Linked DNA regions of Caenorhabditis elegans. The protein of the gene in region 2 interacts with the protein of the main gene of each other region in a biochemical or structural test. Each region holds a gene or a part of one and is shown on either strand. Other genes may lie near its edges.

Region 1 (4,185 bases), on a different chromosome or scaffold from region 2:
AATAGACTGCCTGAAAAATATTTTTTTGCCTAGAACTATTATCAAGGAAATCTGACCATTCTTTCGATAATTTGCAGCGGCAAACTCTGTTCTTTGTTCAAAATTTTGTGTTACCTCGTCGATGTTAAAGGAGCTGAAAAAATTAGTTATTTTATTTTCTTAGTTTATCGTTTACCTACTACTTTCACGTGTAATAATTGTCGGTGAGTAAGCACATTGCCTTCTTGAACGATGAAAAAGTGCTAATCGATTCAATTTACCCATTTATTTCACCTGAAACCACAAACAATAATTTAAAAGAAAGAATGCGCTCAATCTGTTGAAAAATTAACGCTCGTCTGGACGAAGCAAATGCGCCCTGTCGCGAAACTAATTGGAGGGAAGATTAAAAAATATTTTTTTGTCAAACGAAACATTTCAGAAATTATTTTGCAATTCTATAATTGAAAATCAGATATCTTCGTGAAAAAACGTTATTTCCAGATGGTCTTCAAAAACATTGATTGACATTCGATAAAGTTTATTGATTGTTAGTGTGGGGAGAGGATACGAGCAATTTATATTTGGAGGGAATTGAAAATACATGCAATGATATCCGATATAATAAAATGCAGCAAAATAATTCAAGTTTAGTTTCAGAGCCTGCGAGAGATGGGGGGAGCGAGCGTGCTTTCTATATGACAGGAACATTGAGCTTATTATATTTACAAATTGCGCGCGTTATTATAGTTAGTATGGGACATAAAAACGTATGGCAATTTGACAAAATGTATAAATAGATGGGGAAGGAGGTGGTTATTCACCACAATTCAAGGTGCTTGGCAATGTCCATGGCAAGTTGATCAAGTCCAGGAATTGGAAGAGTTGTCTCGTTTCCAATCATCGGATTGTTGATAGACTTCAGAAGAATAGACTGAGCAGACTCCGAGTTGGCTTGGCAGGCAGCATCTGCAGCAGCAGAAGCAGCTGTGAGTGGAGACGAATCACTATCTTGAGACGGAGTTGATCCAGAGGAAGAATATCCCGAAACTCCTCCCGGTGTTGATTGTTTTCCAAGCATAGAGTATTGCATGTTCCCGGCTGCTCCAATAAGCATAGACTCAAACGGACTGATTGGACGAGTTGCCATATTCAGACTATCCAATGCGAAGAAAGTTGATGGATCCAACGGCCAGCTTGATGGTGGGCGATTCCCGGCTTCTGTAAAATTATTTTGAATTAATCATCAATATTCAATTTTCATACCCTCAGTCTCAAGTGGCTTCTTCGATGGCAACTCGTATCGTGGTCCACGAATGCTAACTGGGGTTGGACCCAATGGCATATTTGCTGCTGGCTCATCTGGTGTGCATGGCCTTGCAAACATATCAAATTGTTGAGGGCCGGCTGTAGAACGACCTCCATTCATGATATGATGCTCCATTTGATCGCGAAGGTCGGCCAAAGCATGACGTTGCGAAACCTGTTGAAGATTTGATTAAAGTGGAAAATTAAAAAGTTATCTTACCTCGAACAATTTATCGGCTCGAATGTATGCATTTGGTCCATTGTCCGGATGAATGAAAAGACAGCGTTTTCCATATGGGCACAACCCAGTAGTAGTGTACTTATCGCAGAGCTTCGTCCGGTACTTATTGTTTTGACGTGCCTCGATCCTGTAAAATATGTTGTGTAATCTTAATTCAATGTTCAAACCAACAGAGATGGACGAAGCTCCTCTTCGCCGTGAGCAAAACGACAGTTCTCCGCGAAAGCACATGTCTTCGACTCCAACCAAGCCTGACATATGACAGTCTTGTACGATTCCGGTTTTTGCATTCGGTGACGGCGTCTTGGATCAGCATGATATTGCAGTGGGAGAATAGCTTCCTGTGGAAGATTTTGAAGAGCTCTCATTTGCATCGAATGAATATGCTCGTTTCTGAGAAGATAAAATTTAAGAAACAGTCCATTTATCCTATAGAATTACTCAGCAATCTCCTTGAGAAGCTGCTCCTTGACAGCCATCAGGTTAGCGGTCTCGGAAAGCAAATCGTCGATATGAGAAATCGGTTTTTGCTGTTCTTCCGGAACAGTCTCCATCATATCGGGATGCGATGGTTCAACACTCGACTCTGTACGAGCCCTTAAAAAAGAAAATTAAAATTGAGAAACTATGATAAAAGTGGCTCACTCATTATTCTGGATAACATTTTCCTTGAGCATATCCATTATTTCGTTAGTAGTGCAGGGGAAATGGGTGGTTAGTGATTAGGCGTGGGGTGCTCGGTTAATTGATTCCCTGAAATTTAAAGAAATTTTAAAAATGGTAAGATTCCGCGAGCAATGAATAACAACCGTCTAAAGAATGAAAGAAATAAGTTTTTAACGAGAAAAAACGAATGCGCCAAAACGGTATAAAATTATTGTTTTAAGCGACGTAATTCAGAAATAAGCTCTTTTAAAATTCAAATAAACGGGCCAAAATCCTTCTGAATGAAATAAATGAATGAACAGAACCAAATGTTGTTGAACAAAAGAAAACTGAAGAAAACCATCTCTGTCCCAAAATTTCGAAACAAAAAGTCAATGTTTGGCGGCAATGCGCGCTAAATAAGATCAAATAATTATTTTTTAATACTTAAGTTTAGAATTAAGTCTGAAATTTATGGTTGAATCAAAGTCAAAAAACTTGCAAGAAAATGTTGCCAATTTTCACCAATGACTACGGTCACACTCGTTTGAGATGTGCACTCCCCGCTGCTGCGCCTTTAAAGGTTACTGTAACTAATAATTTTTTTTTAGCAAGCATGGAAATTGTGTAATTGTCTGAAAAAGTAACTCATAAACAGCGAATAACTAGATTTTCTCGACTAAAAAATTTTCAACAACACTGTCTGACCAAAATCTAGCTGTAAAAGAACATTACTTTGCAAATATACTTGCTGGAAGGTATTCGAATTTTTATTCAATATTTACATGTATATTTGATTTATTGTAAGTTCATTGTATTCCTATTAAAATCACTTGTGCATTCCATAATTTGACGCCTGGGAATAAACATTTTGGTCGAAAACTAGCGGTGTTCCATTGGACTCAACAACATCCATCAACTTTGACTTTTTTGCTTTTTCCAAGAAGAAACTGTTTGTTGTGTCGATGAACTTGCATGGACGCATTCCATTTCTAAAATATTATCATTTTTCCACAGTCCTTTGTCAAAAAATCACTCACTCAATAGCCATTTTAGCAGCTCCAATCTCCAACTTCTCTCCAAGATTTTTACCACGATGCCCCTAAAAACAGATTTGAAAATATTCAATTTGAAAATAGTAAAACTCACATCAAAGACATGCAAATGAGCAAGTGCTCCGTGAGTTTCTGAAGAAATGAATCCAACAAGTTCGTCGCCTTTACGAACGCAGAGCGATGGGAACCGTCGAAGTTTTTCTCTGAAAAAAATTCCTATTTTTCCATGTAACTGTTGTTTTACGATTTCTCGATTTTGTGAGAAAATGATATAAATCTAGTACTGTTGGTTTTTAATTTCCTGATCCAAAAACTCACTCTACTAATTTTGCATTTGGTGTGATAGATGATCCTACAATCTTCATAACATCATTTGTTGATTCAGGTATATCAATTGAGTATCCATCAGGTAATGTTGTATCACCATAATTTCTATATTTGAAAATTTGACTTTCATTCATTGCAAAAAAGTGTGTTGATTTGTTTTGCACCTCTGCATTAATATTGTTTTTCTTCATGTACTTTTCAATCTAAAATCAAACGTTTCTTATCTATTAACCTTTGTTCTGTTTTCATTGTGTATTACCGCTTTAGTGTAACATTTCTCGGCTACAGTTGATGGAGCATTGGAGCCAGCAAACAATCCATTTGTTTTACAGAATTCATCAAAAACCGCCAGAAAGTCTTCTTCTCGAAACTTTCCATCGTGTGTCAGAATTTGACGGTCTCTGAAAAGGTGCGAAGGTCAATTTCGAATTGAAAAAAAGAGATAGCAAAAGGTGGGAAAAGGTCTTTAGTGATACTGAAAAATGTTTTTGAAAATGAAGAAAAACTGGTTTAGGAATGGATTGTCATGGAAATGTTTGATCTTATCAAATATTACGGTCGAATCGGAAAAACATGAGTGAAGATACGGAAAAATGTAGTCAGCCATGGACATTTAAAACGGAATTCACT
Region 2 (4,928 bases):
TAATTTTTGCAAATATTAAAAATTTTAATTTGAAAAAGTTAGATCGTTTCGGATCAAAAAAAATTTCTCCGAAATTTGTTAGTAAGTCAAAAACTAATAATTAAAACTGAGAATTAAAAAAAATTACAGTAAACTTTTTGATTTACAACTATTATAAAACCGTAGTTTAAAAATTGCAAACTGTGACATCTCGGAGAAAAGCCAAAAAAAAAATTGCAAAAACTGTATGTTTTTACAGCTCCAACCATTTTGGCAATAAATAGGACAAGTATTTATTTTTACTGAAAAACTGGAAATTTGGTCATTCACAATAGGAAGTAATTTCTAAAACTACAGAAAGTGCTAAACAACACACAAAGCCAGCTAGCGGAGGATCGTTGCGAGTTGACCAGGTAGATCAAAAACAAAAAAAAATTGTACATACATCTCAAGAATCTGTAGATCACTGTATACAATCATAAAAGGTATGGAAAGCCTCTCCTAACGACTAATGAAAAAGGGAATCCCTGTGAGAGAGGCGAAGAACGATGAAGAATAGAAAAGACGGGTTTTTTACGAGTTGTTTCCATCATGGCCCGGCGTGTGTGTTGCCTCGGTTGGTTTGATTACGATGCCTCATTTTCCCGACCGCAAGGTCCTCCTAGTCTCCACCATACAGGTAAAGAAAACAGAAAACACTACCGAATTAGTACTTGTAATTAAAATAAAAATGTGTGTGTGTGGGGATAGATAGGGGAACGCGAGAACCTTATCTGGGGGAGGGTGGGGAAAGCGGGACTGAAGACTAACACAAGTGATACAGAGAGACAAAGATCGGAAAGATTCGGTGCGGATTTTTGATGACCAACATTTGATACGGTACTTTTGTGAGGAACGCTTTTTTTTGGAAAAAAATATCGTAGTTTTCTGAAAACTTCAGCACAAGGTTTGGCGAATTGGCAAAATTTTTTGCAAACTTTGAATTTTTCAAACAGAACCTTCACAATGTTTAAAAAAATTAAAACTGAAAATTTGTAGAAAAACCCTTTCTTGGTCAATTTCTTGATGTATGGAAATTCAGGAAAAATAGTTTTCTGCAACATTTGTATCACAACGAACAAAATAAAATTTTTGCACATTTGCTCTTAGGCTTGCGAATTTTTCTTTTAACTAAATCTAACAAGATCAAAAAGTTCCATAATTATTTCGTTCAAGTGAACAAATCTCTTGACACTTAAAAATCTCTAAAATCAACCTGTTTTCAAGAAACCATAAAATGTTCGTTTTCTGTAAATTGTCTACTTTCAAGTACAATCTATCTCATTTTTCCTCTTCTCACACACATTGAAATCGTACTTCGAAGAACAATCAGAAAACGTCTTGAAATTGGATAGGGTTAAGGGGGCAAGCACAAAAGGAGTCATTAAAGTTCCATTTTCAAAAAGTGGAGGAAAAAACTTCTGATGAGAACATCATGACGTGCAACTAAATTCTCCCTTCCCGGATATTTTCCTATCATTTTTCTTCGAAGAGAGGGTAAAGGGAGAAAAAGGCCAAGGGAACACTGATTGACTCTTTGAGCATTTTTACACTTTGTGTGTCTCGTTTAAAATGTTGTTACATTCAAAATTGTGAGAAATCGACGAGAGATAGGATTTGAAAAATTGTTCAATTGAAGCATAAGTTTCTACTGAAAAGTCGCTTAAAATTGCAAGTGGCTGAGGAAGTGATTTGATTTTTTTAAAATTTTTTTTAACCAAAAAAATACCGACCTCTACGTCTACTATAAAATATGCGTAAACTTACATGAGGTGAACACTAAAGGCCAGAGTTCAACTTAAAATAAAGGAAATCAGCAAACAGTAGGCAGGCAGGCAGGCATAAGGATATACCTACCAACAATTTAACAATTTACATTACTCCCTTTCTATTGTGACTAGACAACGGGGCCGCCTTACTCAAACGCCAATGCCAATAAACTACGTTAGCTTAGGTCTAACTGTTTTGTTTTAGAGTATGTAAGCTTCAAGGTATTCTAAAACAGCTGTTTTCAGAAAATGAATGTTTTGAAACTATTAAAGTGGGAGAAAAACAAAATTTTTAACAAAAATGTATTGAATCCTGATTAAAATTGCAAAATCAAACAGGTCTGAATCAAAAAAGAAATGATTGACTGTGAATCTAATTGTGAAATCGCTGGTATACCATTCTTGGGTACTCTTGATGACAAATACTCCCCCCACTCCTCCTTTTTATTGAAAAGAAAACACCTCTTCATTGAATGAGAAGGGTTCTCGATCTCAATTTTCATTGATTTTTTTCCTTGTTCCGCCTTTAGATTTCTATTACAATAATACATTGTGATTTTCAAAACATGTTCCAATTTCCAACTAATTAGGCCCTTTACACCAGCTTTTCAACTAATCAGGTTAAGCATAAATGGACAAAAAACATCAAAAAGTTTTCTCAAGGACCCCACAGGGTGTAAAGTTTAATGGGATCCATATGGTGGTCAATGGGGGGGGGCTTTCAAGGAAAATAAATGACCGTCTGCTGCAGGCACGACTTTTGAATATTTCTAGAAATTTCCTTAAGAACTTCAAAGTAATTCGAAATTGCAATATTTTAAACTACATACGTTTAGTGGGAAAATTGAAGAAAAAATTTGAAGAGAAAAAGAATCAAAAGCTCACTGTGAAACTGATCTTCCTTGTGCATCCAGACTCATTACACTGCGATCTCGCTGACCCTGAAATGATTTTTTTTGAATTTTAGGAGCAATTTGTTTAGAATTTTATAATCCTAGTAGAACTATAATAACTAGTAATATCAAAAATGAACATTTAAGAAATCACACAAAAGTTCAGAAAAAAGTCAATATCTTTACTTTTTCAGAGGAGAAATTTAAAAATTTTCAAACTCCATTTCAATTTGAAACTATAATTACATGCACTACTAATAGAGGTATAGCACACCCACCTGTTGTGTAACATCAATCGGTTGTTGCCCGTAACTTCGACTGTTACGTGTGAACGAGGCAAGAGCAGCCATGCTTCAACTACTCTAGACTGCTGCAAGTTTGGGAGAGAATTCCTAAAAATTTTTTGTACTTTTTAATACAATTTGTGGTAGGGGGTAATAAGAGAGTTGACGACGAGTAGAGGGTAATCGGATCAAATACATTTTGTTATCAATGGGAGAAACACCTCACCGAACGTGGGGACAAGTTGGAGCAGATAAGAAAAAGGGGCAAATGATGTTGGAAGAGTCCGTTTTTCTCCCCCTGTTTCTCTTTTACTCTCTAGGAGGAATCCACCAAATTTTTTTTTTGCAGAAACTTGTGTTGTGTTGCGGGTTTGTGGAAGAGCATATGGGAATTGGAGACATAGAGTACGGAGCAACAAACGTTTTTTGAATGGTACACCTAACGGGGTGGAGAACGATGATAAATTGATAGGCAGGCAGTGGATGCTTGGAACGCATGGAGCAAAACTTTTTAGTGAACTTGCTTTGAAAATACAATATAATATAAAAACAAAATAGCGTGAAACTTATTATTAGTGAACCGAAATACGTTAGATGCACAATGACAACAGTGATAAGAAAACGAGATAACTAGATATTTACGCACTTTTAAAGTTCTTCTCCCCATTTTTACGACTAACAATTGGCTTATCAAGAGTCACGAGAGGAGCATCAGCTGGCACCGACCAAAATGGTTTTTTTTCAACTTCCCCTTGTAAGGGAAATTTCTGAACTTTTCCAAAACTTTCTTCCCATAATCTTTGCGCATTCCAAATGTTTTCAAAGCATGCCTTATGAAAACTTAATGCTAATAGTTTTTGATGTCTGATATAAAATGCAAAAATATGGATATCATATGATCAGCGGCAGGAAATATTAAAAAGGGGAGTCTAGAAATAAACAGGCTGAAATTTAAAAAATAGAAGTTAGGGAAGGCATAGAGGATAGGGACCAAGAATGGATAAGCTCAAGCCTAAACCCAAGCCTAAACCCAAGCCCAAACCCAAGCCTAAACTCAAACTTAAACCCAAGTCTAAACTCAAAGTTAAGCCCAAGCCTAAACCTGAGGCTAAACCTGAGCCTAAACCTGAGCCTAAACCTGAACCTAAACCCAAGCCTAAACCCAAGCCTAAACCCAAGCCTAAACCCAAGCCTAAACCCAAGCTTAAACCCAAGCCTAAACCCAAACTTAAACCCAAGCCTAACCCCAAGCCTCAAGCCTAAATCCAACCCTATCTTGAACCTTAGCCTAACACCAATCATAAACAAAAGCTTAAGCCCATAGCAAATCTAAAATCCTATAGCAACCTAAACCCTAGCCTAAGATTAAACCTGAGAATTCTCTCTTATTGAAGCTTAATTGTGTACAAATAACTTATCTGGCATTGGATTCCTGATTGTGAGACGGTTAACGAAATGTGCAAAAAGTGAGAAGAATTGAAAGTAATAAAATAATTGAACAAAGGCAATTTATTTTTATTTCATACCACGTGGATGACCGTGTAAGTTTATTTTGGGTTTCACGCAAAGTTACTTTTTGAAAAATTTTCCAATTAGCATAGTATGTAGACTCGAGGAAAATTGGCATATTTGCTTGGCAAAAGCAAGCCTAAATGAAAACCAGAGCTTCTGCTAAAATTAACTAAATATGTGGTAGGCAAGCACAAAAAAACTAAACCCAAGCCTGAATCCAATCCTAAACACAAGCCTAAACCCAAGCCTTAACACAAGCCTAACAAAGCCTAAACCGGTTTTACCCTGCCTAAACCGGTTTAACCTTTCACGTAAGTGTTTAAAATTTTTTCTCCAATTTTCAAAATTGAGTTGGTCCGAGGTAAGTAGGCATATTTGCCTGCCAACGAATGACTCGTACCTACCCCCAGCGTACAACAAGGCAGGAATGTAGGCCGTATTTTTTATTAACA
Region 3 (4,840 bases), on a different chromosome or scaffold from region 2:
GTTCTGTTTCTTTTTAAGCTGGTATAACCAATTAAGTTTTGAATTCTTAAACCGTAGTTGACTGTTAAAACATGTTCTAACTGGGTCTGTAGGCACGCGACATGAGCTTCATAGACCCGACGAATCGGGGGGATTGCCGGCGGCGGGGGACCCCAATCGGGGGGATTGGCCACGCCCATATAGCCGTGCGGTAATTCAAATTTCGCAACTTCCGCACGGTTTCAAAAAACAAAAGTTGAGAGATGTTAGGGATTGAAAGACTTAGAAAAAAATTAACTGTGCGGAGGAAATTTGAATTTCCGCACGGTTCTATGGGCGTGGCAATCCCCCCGATCCGGATCCCCCGCCGCCAGCAATCCCCCCGATTCGCCGGGTCTCTTTCATATCCACTTCGACAGTCAAGAACCATATACCCAAAAGATCTTCCAATCTGTAAATTCAATTCCTAATTTAACAAAACAAAAAATCCATTTTTAATTTCGGTGTTGAATTCGTAAACATTAGTTGACAGTTAAAATGCATTTTATACAGTATCATGCAATATTTCACAGAATGTTCTAAATAAAAATAATAATAGTGAGTGGAGGTTTAGTATACATGATAATTAGAATTCGAAGACGCTCTTCGCTGGTGAAAGGATCCCGTCGACAGTCGCCACCTTGTTTGGCATCTCTCCAACGCAATCGGGTGCCTCACTGAAAAATAAAACATTTTTAGAAAGAGAATTAATTCAATTCGAATAATTTTTTAAATATGTAAAATAAAACATACCGTCTGTAGTTTGGTCGTTCCGGTCTTCCAACCATTCGAACAATGTCTGGATCTGCTCTTGGAGACAGCAAACGATAGCCAGGAATTGGAGCAGCAAGATCATCAAGGAACATGCGTTCGGATCGTTCTTGGAGCCATCTTTCATAATCGACATCCAACTCCTTTGCACTTCCAATGACGTCACGGAAGAAGAATGCAACAAGACGATGCACAAAGATGTACTGCATGGGAGTCTCGATGCTGAATGGACGGCGCTGACGAAGAAATTGGACAGCTCGTTGTACTGGGTACTGAAAATGTGTTTAATTGAATTGATTTCACCATTTCCAACTTAAAAAGTCACTAAATTCTGATACAAACCTTGTAAGTTGGCCCTCGGAGCAAACTGCAAATGGCAATCTCGGCAGCAACAAGACAAGCCGCTCTAGAAACTCCCAAATGATCATGGATAACGACTGGCTTCGACGCGTTGCGAAGTAAACGAAGAATATTTAATGGAGAGTACATATTCGATGAATTGTTCACGTCTCCTTGCCAATGTTCCACGTGACGTTCCTCGCGATCCGGTCCAATGAGACGAAGATGAGTGACACGGAACAATGGGTCTGGAGCTTGATAGACACCAAAGTTCTCGATTCGAAGTCCACCAGGAACAGTAACGGCGGGATCCGACGGAGATTTTGGCCAGTAATATTCACATCTTTCCGGTTCCTTTCTGCTGGTTAGCATCACAATGTATGGAACTTCCTCCTGCCAAACCATTCTCCAAAAATCATCAACGGTGTTCTTCATTGGAGCTTGAGTCATGATGAACTCATTGAACAGCGGCTTTCCAGAAATCCGATTTGCGTGAATGAAATCTCCGAGATACTGACCGCGTGGGAATTGGAGAGCGATTCGAGTGGAATCCTTGCAGTGAACACGTGGATTACGGCACTTTTCCTGGTTGTTGTCTGAAGCTGAGTGAGTGAATGGGATGTGGTTGACCGAGTTCTCGAGGATTTCAAAGCGTCGCTCCATTCCTCCGATGATGGTTGACAGATACTTCGCTTTTCTCGCTGCTCCAAACATCCGCTTTCCGATTCGAATGTTGTTGTAGACTGAAAAAAAGTTAATTAATTAAGGAAAATAATAATTTATTTTCTTACACTGTCCAGCAACACGAACTCGGTCTCTGTCAGCAAGAACATTTGCCTTGAAAGCTTGAACTCGCTTTTGCATCGTAGAAGCGTCGAGTTCACGAAGTAGGTATTCAGCCATTGTCTCATTCTTGACGGCTTCTGGATGAATATCCGAAATCCATGTGCTGGTTTGATCATGTGAAAGAAGGCGCATCAGAAGCACCTGATCTCTTGCGGATTTCAGATCGATGCGATGATTTGTGAAGAAAGTTGAGTTGATTCCGAACTTCTCACAGATGCTTTTCAACGGCATCACCCATCCTTGACCGTTCACTGGACGCTTTGGCTTCTTTCCATTCTCATCCCGACGCATGTAGATGTCTGTGTATCGACCCTTCCATTTCGTGTCGAACTTTGAAGAGAAAAGCAGCTCTTGAGTGATCTCGGTGTCATCATAACTTGAACGAATCAAATTAGCCATTGCTTCCTTTGTCACCTTCTTATTGCATGGAGTAATCGATCCAACACGGGATTCTGCAGAAGCTGCAATTTTGTAGGCTGCATGAAGAGAGAAAGCTCCTGGCGATTGATGATTTTCTAGGACAGCATTCTTCATCTCCAATGCTTTCCGAGTCTTCATGACCAACGCCGGCTCCACTTGCATCGCAGTTCGGGCGGCAAACACTTTCATCCGAACATTGTTGAAGTGTCCCTTTGCCATCTCAATGTCGGCTCCATGCCCGGAATCCTCGCGTCTTCCTTCGTCCTTTGGTTTCTCGGAGACAAGACAGTCGAGAGCTTTGGATTTCCGCAATTTCGATGGAGCTGCATAAGTAGACGGAGCACCACGTGGGACTTCAATCGCATCCTCTTCCGAGTTTCCGTTCAGACGCTCCTTGGATCTTCTGCAACATAGAATATTAATTTTCTAATACTTAAGAATCTCAAAATACCTGTCCTTCTGAGCGAGCTTCTTCACTTTCTTCCGGAAACTCTTGCTGAGCGTGCTTTCGCTGTTGAATCTGGCTCTCATGCAGCTCACTCCCTTTTGTTGAGGATAATCCACCATCATATCCATGTTATCGGTGCTATCCGCCGAGGAGTCGTCGGTGTTTCCGGAGCAGAAGCTTTGAAGCGACGTCGCACGCTTCCGGCCAGCTTGTGAGCGCATCGCGTTGATTTGCTCGCGGAACATCACTTCGCTGTTCAACGCCATACCTGGAAAATTAATGAGCTTAAGCTAATAATTATTTAAGAGCAGAAGAGACAGAAAAAAAGATTTTAGGAGGAAACGAAATGGAAATTAGTCGAGTATGCGGGCGATTCCATAAAATAACTGCGAAAAACACTATTAAAGCACCTAAACGAACAAAAACCGATTTTCTAGGAGAAAAAAGAAAGAAAAATTTCGGATGCGCATACCAGAAAACAATTTCGCTGAGCGGAAAAATACAAAATTTCGCGCTCTTCCAAAATCGTAGAGCAAATCTGTGAAGATCAAAGGTACGGTAAAAGATAATGTGTGCACTTGCGTACTTTTTTCGCGTACCGTATCTCGCACTATTTACAACGGAAAACGCAAATTTAATTACATAAAATTAAATATATTATTTAAAAATTGTTTATAAACATTAAATATACGGAAAATCCGATTATGCTCATGGTGAGGATCGAAGCGGTGACTTTCAAAAAATGAGAACAACAAAGGTACGGTAACAAATAATGTGTGCACTTTTGCGTCAATTGACATGCAATGTACGCGAAACTTTTCGAATTGATTTTTCTTTCGAAATTTTTTGTTTTCTTTGAATCTTATGCGTTTTTTTGTGTTATTTAATTGCATATTTTCACTTTTTTCATAATAAAATTTATTCAATCAAGTTTCATGGTCCTCCTTTCCAAGATAACGGAGTTGGTTCGACTTCCATCTGTTCTTCAGGCTTCACGGGGCCACGAATCATTTTCTTCGAAAAATGAAGAGTTCGATCAGATCTTTCCATATTATTTCTTGAAACTTCCTCATCACACTTCACATCTTCTTCCTTTCCAGCCTTCTCCATTGACGTTTTCTTGATGGTTTGTGGCGGAGTGATTTCTTTCTTGTTCGGTTTTTCCGCTGATTTTGCTTTTTCCTTTTTGCCGCCAACATCTTTATTTTTCTTGAAATCTGGTTTCATTTCAACTGCTACAGATTCTTTTGAAATTTGAAATTTCGAAGTTTTCTTTCGATTAACATTGAAGTCCTCTGCGCTGTTGGGGTTCTTCTCGACTTCTTTTTGCATTGAAATCGTTTTTGACACAGTTGAATAGTTCGTGCTGACTCTGAATGGCTTATTTCGTGTTTATAAAACATTTTCGAGGATCTTACGGAGTGGAAGTTTTGCTGACATCGGTTTTGTCAGCCAAATCTGCCGAAGTGATGGTTTTTGTAGTGATTGAAGAGGTTTTCGGCTTTTTCTCCTCCACTTTTGAAGCTTGGCTCGTTTTAGAGCACGAAATAAACATAACTGAAATACGGTTATGCGCTTTTGAATCTAAAATTGCCGGAATACCTGTCCATACTACGAAAAGAATTAATTCAGCAAAAATGCATGCCATTTTTATAATTAATTACTAGAAATAATTGAACCTTCGATTTGCACTGGCCTTTTTTTTAATTCGGTTTATAAGTTACACAACACGTTTGAATTTCCGCAATTTTGGATTTTATTTTTAGTTTTCAAATTTTATTCCTTTTCCATTTCTCATTTTGTATTCACTGAACAATTTCTTTCTTTCCGACCTGGTAATTTCTAAAATGTTTTCTACTTGTTGTCAATAGAGCGTCGTTGCATTCCTCACTCATACTCTCTCACTCTCTCGAACGCTTTTTTTTTTTTTCATTGCAAATGTTTCATTCGAACATTGATTTTCGGTTGTTTCCTTTCTTTTTTTTCGATTTTTATAGG
Region 4 (5,224 bases), on a different chromosome or scaffold from region 2:
CTTTTAGATTTTTTGTGTGAAGCATCTCTGAATCAAGAGCATTCTTTGAACTTTAAATTTTACTTGATAACTAATGAGTCCTCCGAGAAAAACATGAAAAACCCTGAAGCGTGCCTACTTGTCCGCCATCGTTGGTGCGTTTCCGAAACTTGTGAAGGCCTGTAGCAATGCGGACGGTGATATTTTCGAATTCAAAAATGGTATCTTATTTAGTTTTTCTCGGAGAACAAAACCTATATGATTATTTGTTTAATGTGTTTTTTGTTTTGGTTTTATGAAGCTTCAAAGTAGTGCGCATAATTATGGCCCACCCTGTATTAAAAAACGGAACTTTTCCAAACAAATCTGAAGCATCTGTTTTAAAATTGAATCCGTGACTACTATTTTGCCTAATGACAGTATTTAAATTTCACAAAAAAGATCTATGAGAAGATATGTATATTTTCAAATCAGTTACCAATCATCTTTTCTTAAATCTATTTCGAACTTTTCTTTTATTCTAGTTCCACTCCAAATCTTAAAGAATCGGCAATTCTTTATCAATCATCCAGACAACAATATAATACTACCCTCTACAAGTATCTGGGTAGACATAATACAAATTCACAAGGAGAAGCGAGTTGAAATATAACAAGAGTGGATAAAGGGTTAATGAACAAGAATAACATACAATATAGTCTACAAGTAATAGATATAAATTGGTACAATCATTGATCTCTGGGTGGGTCAAAAATAGATTCCAGCCAATCCCGTTTTACATTCAAGTATTTGATAGGATCCGATTTCCGAAGATGTGCAAGTAAACACGCATCAGCAATTGCGATGATATTCTTCTGTCCGATACACTCCTTCCACAACATGTAGAGCATATTGGTGGAGTCTGTGGAGCTGCTCGTATCGTCCAGCCGAGCCTGAACAAACGTGGCAGCAATCTCTTGCATAACTGCAAGCTGGTGAGGATTTCCTAAGCAGGCTTCAGCAAAACGGAGGAACCATTTTCTGAACATATTTCGCACAGGTGGAACTCTTGGATCTGAAAAAATTAAAGTTTTCAAGATTAAATATGTCTTATCTTTCTTACCATCGGCATAAGGACCATCCAATCTTGGAATTGTCTCGGTGCAAAAATAATTCAAGTACAGCCATCTTTCAGGTGACATCCCGTGAATATTCAAATTCACTTTCAGGAGTTGTGTCTTTTCTTTGTAGTTAGTATCAATGTAGTCGTTAAAGTCTTGCTGAGCTTCCAGGAATGCTGTCAAGCTTTCAGAAATGCGAGGTGGTGGCGAGGTTGAAGCTGGATCTTGAGTGCAATCTTGAGAAGGATATTCGATCCGATCGGCTGATTCACAAGGAAGTGGAGCCGGATCACTGAAAGAAATTTACTGTACTCAGAAAATAATTTTACAGGATTTGAATCAAGTTTTGAGCTCAATCTTTTCAGCTTGTACATTATTTTCCATATGCTTGATCGATAGCGGATTTATTAACTTGGACCTTACCTGGTGATTTCGAAGGGCCATTTCCCAGCTTGATTGTATACTTCAGCTGCACGAATTTCACAATTGATTCCACTTCTCTTCGGAGTTGGGCAACCATTACAATCCGTGGAAACTGGAATTCCGGTAATGTAAGAGCTGGAAAAGAAAATATGGAAATGTTGTTCGTTTTTTGTAAAGTCATACCTTTCCAGCGCCACAACCTTTGGAGTCAACTTTTGAGCAATTCGCTTTCCTGAAGCTGTTTCTTTTCCAGAAACTGTGACGGAATACATTGGTGATTTTGTAGCTTTAGAATCAACCACGCCAAGTGACTTGTTCAACTTTGAAGACCTGTAAAAAATATAATGAAATAAGAAGCTCCAAGTGTAAAACTAACTTGCTGGATGATGTCAGACATCTTTCTCCGATCAAAGCCTTTGGAGTTGGGATGATTGACGAGGAAGGTGTTCTCTTTACATCCACATTGTTCCGATTGATCTGATCCTTGCTGAAATTTAAATTTTTACTAAAGATTTTACTATTTCACTACATACCTTGAGGAAGCACGATTTGCAGATTTCGGCATCTCAGGGTCCCCATGAAGTAAACGTCTCATTTCCTCAACGTTGGCATCAAAAGTTCCTGTCCACTTTCTTCTTGAGATCTTTGGAGGAGAACTCGGCTGTGGACTTGGCGTGGGTTCCTCGTCTTCTTCAACAGTTTCCAGTGTCACATCAAGACTGGCCAGACGGGAGGCACTACGAGAACTTCCACGGCGCTTGATCGACAGTGAAGTTTTCTTGGGAAGACTCACTGGTAGGGTTTGGTTGTTAGCATCCACAAAACTGGAGTCAAAGTCTTCACCAATTGAGCAATTTAGATCACTTGCTGGTAATGTCCGATTCAAATTGCTGCATTCTCCATGAGAGCTGGAAGGCAAGTGAATCTGTTGTCCGATCTTCATGCTGACAATTTCCAATAACTGTTCAATGGAGAGTTCAGTGCCGTCCTTGCTGAATACATTGGATACCAGGTTACGTTTAGCCGCTTCTTCAGAAGATTTGCATTTTTCAGTCAATTGTTTACTGCCTGCATTCTGCTTTGAATAAGTCGATTGTTGAAGTTTCTTAGTGACTGATCGAGATCTCCGACCACGGGCAGCATCCATGGAATCGTCTATGAACACATCGTCAGTTAATTCATCGTCATTTGTGTTGAAGTAAGTACGATCCTGGAAGTTGCTGCTACCACGTGATTTTTTTCTGTCGTTTCTTGATTTCTGTTGTTGATTTTTCATCGATGAGGTTTCATGTGTAGGAAATCCAGAGAAGCTCTGGTTCAAATTCCGCGACTTAATAGCATCGTGCTTTTGGACAAGACTAGAATTGATAACCTCCTTTCCAGATGCATTTTTATTGTCCTTATGGCCTTTTTTAAAAGCGTGTCCATGAACTCCAGCTTGAGCGTTGAAGCTTTTATTTCCAAGACATTGCTGGTGAACATTGGTTTGTCGCAGTTTCTTAGAATTATTTTCTTGCTTCTGGAACCCAACGGGAACGGAACTCACACTGAATGACTTATTCCCAGCGTGACCATAATTGTTCGAACCATCCGAGAAGCTTAGGCCATGTTGTCCATTCTGACGACTTCTACTACGTCTTGTGTTTGATTGCTGAACGTCGTCCTGATCTGTGGATACTGGGAATCTTCGTTCATACCAGCTGGAGCTATTGCGTGTTTGCAAGTTGCGGCGGAAGTCTGCAGAGAAGACGGGGGCCGTAGGAGGAATACTGTTAAAGGCGTTGCTGCCGTTTCCTTGAGCTGCATGCATCGACTGATTGAATACTCGACCATGTCGAGTCATCGAGTGATTCAGCTGTTGGCCATTCATGAATGTATTCCCGTTGAATGATACGGATCCGTGATGAGATATCCCCGATTTTGCACCATATTCACGGCTTGTTGACTGAGCACTGTCTTGTTTTGCGATCGGATTGAACAATTCGTCAAGAGTGATTTGGTGTTCCATGTTGTTGGATGCACTTTCCTGATTGCTACGACTACTTGAGCGGCGACCTGAATTTACAAATTGAATGAAAAATTGATGCAAAAAACTCTCACCTCCTCTTTTTCTTCTCGAGTTTGGCAGACCGCTTGGGTAAGGTTTTGAGGAACTCATACCTGCAAAAATCAAAACTTAATGAAATATTGAAATAAATGAAATTTAAAAAAATACAACGAAAAAGAAAGACAGAGATGAAAAAATGCAAACCGGTGGGACCACGCAACAAGAATGAACACTTGAGTTAGGGAGATTGAGAGAGTGTGAGAGGTAGAGAAAGAGCGCGCGGAAATAGTGTGTGGCGAGACGGACAGGGGCGATGCGTGCGCGCGGTGAAAAAATAGTTCAAATGCGGCAGGGAATCAACAAAACAACACACACCGTTTGCATGGTATCGATCAGTTTTCAAGACTATCCAAGACTATGGAGTTTTGAGGAACAATTGGATTGATAGTTAATTCTCTAAAATATTGGATAATCACTGAATAATAAATGAGAAGAATAAATTTATAAAAAGAAACAGGATAATAGGCAGTAAAGGAGATGTTAATTAGAAAACCTGTAAGCGAAAAATCAAAACTAAAATAATTTTTTATCTCAAACTTTTTAAAAGAAACGGCGGAACATAATCCTGAATTCCTGAAAACGAGATGTAAAGGGTCGTTAAAATAGCTCCAAAAACGGATTTGTGCAGAGTTTTGAAATTTTTTAAAATTATTTTAATATAGGAATACTAAGTACCTGGAAAGTAATAAAAACTGCTTTATATAGAACATTGAAATCTTTTGTTTTTTAACATAAATTTTAAAAAATGTTTGGATATCCCAAACTAATAAGGATTCTTAACATTATTAATTCATAAAAATATGAAAAAATGTCTATTCAAAGGATTTTTTTTGATCGAAGACTTCTAAAAAGTTACAAAAACTGAGAATCTTCAAGTAGAAATTTGGTATTCCTTGGGACTTCAGATTATTCATATTTTATTTTTCAAATTATTCTCGATGGTTTTTTAATTTAAAAAACAACTCATCGACATTGATGCTTTCAAACAGGATAGATCTAATGTTACTAATTTCCTGCTACTATAGCTACTGCTACATTGTGCACAATGTATGATGTCACACACTTGGAGGATTTATAACCACTTTCTATGTATCGATTATACCATTTAGACGCTCGCCTGCTCCGTTAGTCTGCTCAGTGTTTTTTTTTTTCGATTACATATTTGAGTTACCATTTGGTATGAGCTCCTTTATTTCACAACTCTCCTCATTTATTTGTCTGAGATTTTTTAAACGTCGAGGTATCAGGACCCCGTCAAACAAGGCAAGAACATATGTATTTTACAGTTTTTCGTTTAATTTTATTGATTTTTTAGATTCAACCCTTTCACCTACTTGGTTTACCGTATCCTGCATTTCGGAATATTATACATCAATTGAAGTTGACTGAAGTGTGAGTTGAAGTAGGTTTTAATTATCTAAATGTCTATTGTTTTCAGAATAGAACTATCAAAAAATTCTGGTGAAACCAGATGTAGATTTAAAAAAAATTAATCGAAAAATCTACAAACTTCTTATCGACAACCGTGTTTTCCATGTTGATCTACCACCATTCCGAAATCCTAGTGATTTATTTTCAAGCAAAGTGATTGCTATAGAGACTTCAGAAGACATGT

The links.
Region 1: of the proteins of mbk-2 (region 2) and oma-2, one has a biochemical effect on the other in vitro, tested with the Caenorhabditis elegans proteins (one study listed by BioGRID).
Region 3: of the proteins of mbk-2 (region 2) and egg-4, one has a biochemical effect on the other in vitro, tested with the Caenorhabditis elegans proteins (one study listed by BioGRID).
Region 4: of the proteins of mbk-2 (region 2) and meg-3, one has a biochemical effect on the other in vitro, tested with the Caenorhabditis elegans proteins (one study listed by BioGRID).

What each region holds. Positions count from the first base shown.
Region 1 is NC_003283.11:8,027,535-8,031,719, reverse strand, and holds oma-2 (CCCH-type zinc finger protein oma-2), read right to left. Parts: upstream 2,282-4,185; 5' UTR 2,212-2,281; coding exon 2,174-2,211; intron 2,126-2,173; coding exon 1,970-2,125; intron 1,922-1,969; coding exon 1,700-1,921; intron 1,656-1,699; coding exon 1,508-1,655; intron 1,463-1,507; coding exon 1,246-1,462; intron 1,201-1,245; coding exon 800-1,200; 3' UTR 506-799; downstream 1-505. Other genes in the region: vars-1 (valine--tRNA ligase), read right to left, coding at 1-10, 57-133, 176-264; F43H9.4 (Glycine N-acyltransferase-like protein), read right to left, coding at 3,003-3,165, 3,214-3,275, 3,323-3,431, 3,547-3,758, 3,815-3,956. UniProt on the Caenorhabditis elegans protein: Zinc-finger RNA-binding protein that binds to 5'-UA[AU]-3' motifs in the 3'-UTR of maternal mRNAs to suppress translation in oocytes and embryos.
Region 2 is NC_003282.8:13,007,260-13,012,187, reverse strand, and holds the start of mbk-2 (Dual specificity tyrosine-phosphorylation-regulated kinase mbk-2), read right to left. Parts: upstream 3,031-4,928; coding exon 2,959-3,030; intron 2,729-2,958; coding exon 2,673-2,728; intron 2,552-2,672; exon of another isoform or gene 2,531-2,551; intron 1-2,530. UniProt on the Caenorhabditis elegans protein: Required for oocyte-to-zygote transition in which it phosphorylates oocyte proteins, including mei-1, oma-1, oma-2, mex-5, and mex-6, modifying their activity and/or stability following meiosis.
Region 3 is NC_003279.8:3,930,480-3,935,319, reverse strand, and holds egg-4 (Inactive protein-tyrosine phosphatase egg-4), read right to left. Parts: upstream 3,111-4,840; 5' UTR 3,109-3,110; coding exon 2,846-3,108; intron 2,798-2,845; coding exon 1,920-2,797; intron 1,872-1,919; coding exon 1,132-1,871; intron 1,062-1,131; coding exon 772-1,061; intron 696-771; coding exon 605-695; 3' UTR 507-604; downstream 1-506. Other genes in the region: T21E3.2 (uncharacterized protein), read right to left, coding at 3,776-4,214, 4,261-4,399, 4,445-4,490. UniProt on the Caenorhabditis elegans protein: Inactive phosphatase which acts redundantly with egg-5 in the oocyte-to-zygote transition. Required for the polarization of cortical actin cytoskeleton rearrangement in the oocyte before and after fertilization.
Region 4 is NC_003284.9:1,985,946-1,991,169, forward strand, and holds meg-3 (uncharacterized protein), read right to left. Parts: upstream 3,663-5,224; 5' UTR 3,661-3,662; coding exon 3,603-3,660; intron 3,558-3,602; coding exon 2,036-3,557; intron 1,990-2,035; coding exon 1,879-1,989; intron 1,833-1,878; coding exon 1,686-1,832; intron 1,638-1,685; coding exon 1,503-1,637; intron 1,372-1,502; coding exon 1,082-1,371; intron 1,034-1,081; coding exon 708-1,033; 3' UTR 524-707; downstream 1-523. Other genes in the region: Y40A1A.2 (F-box domain-containing protein), read left to right, coding at 4,789-4,872, 4,925-5,001, 5,048-5,102.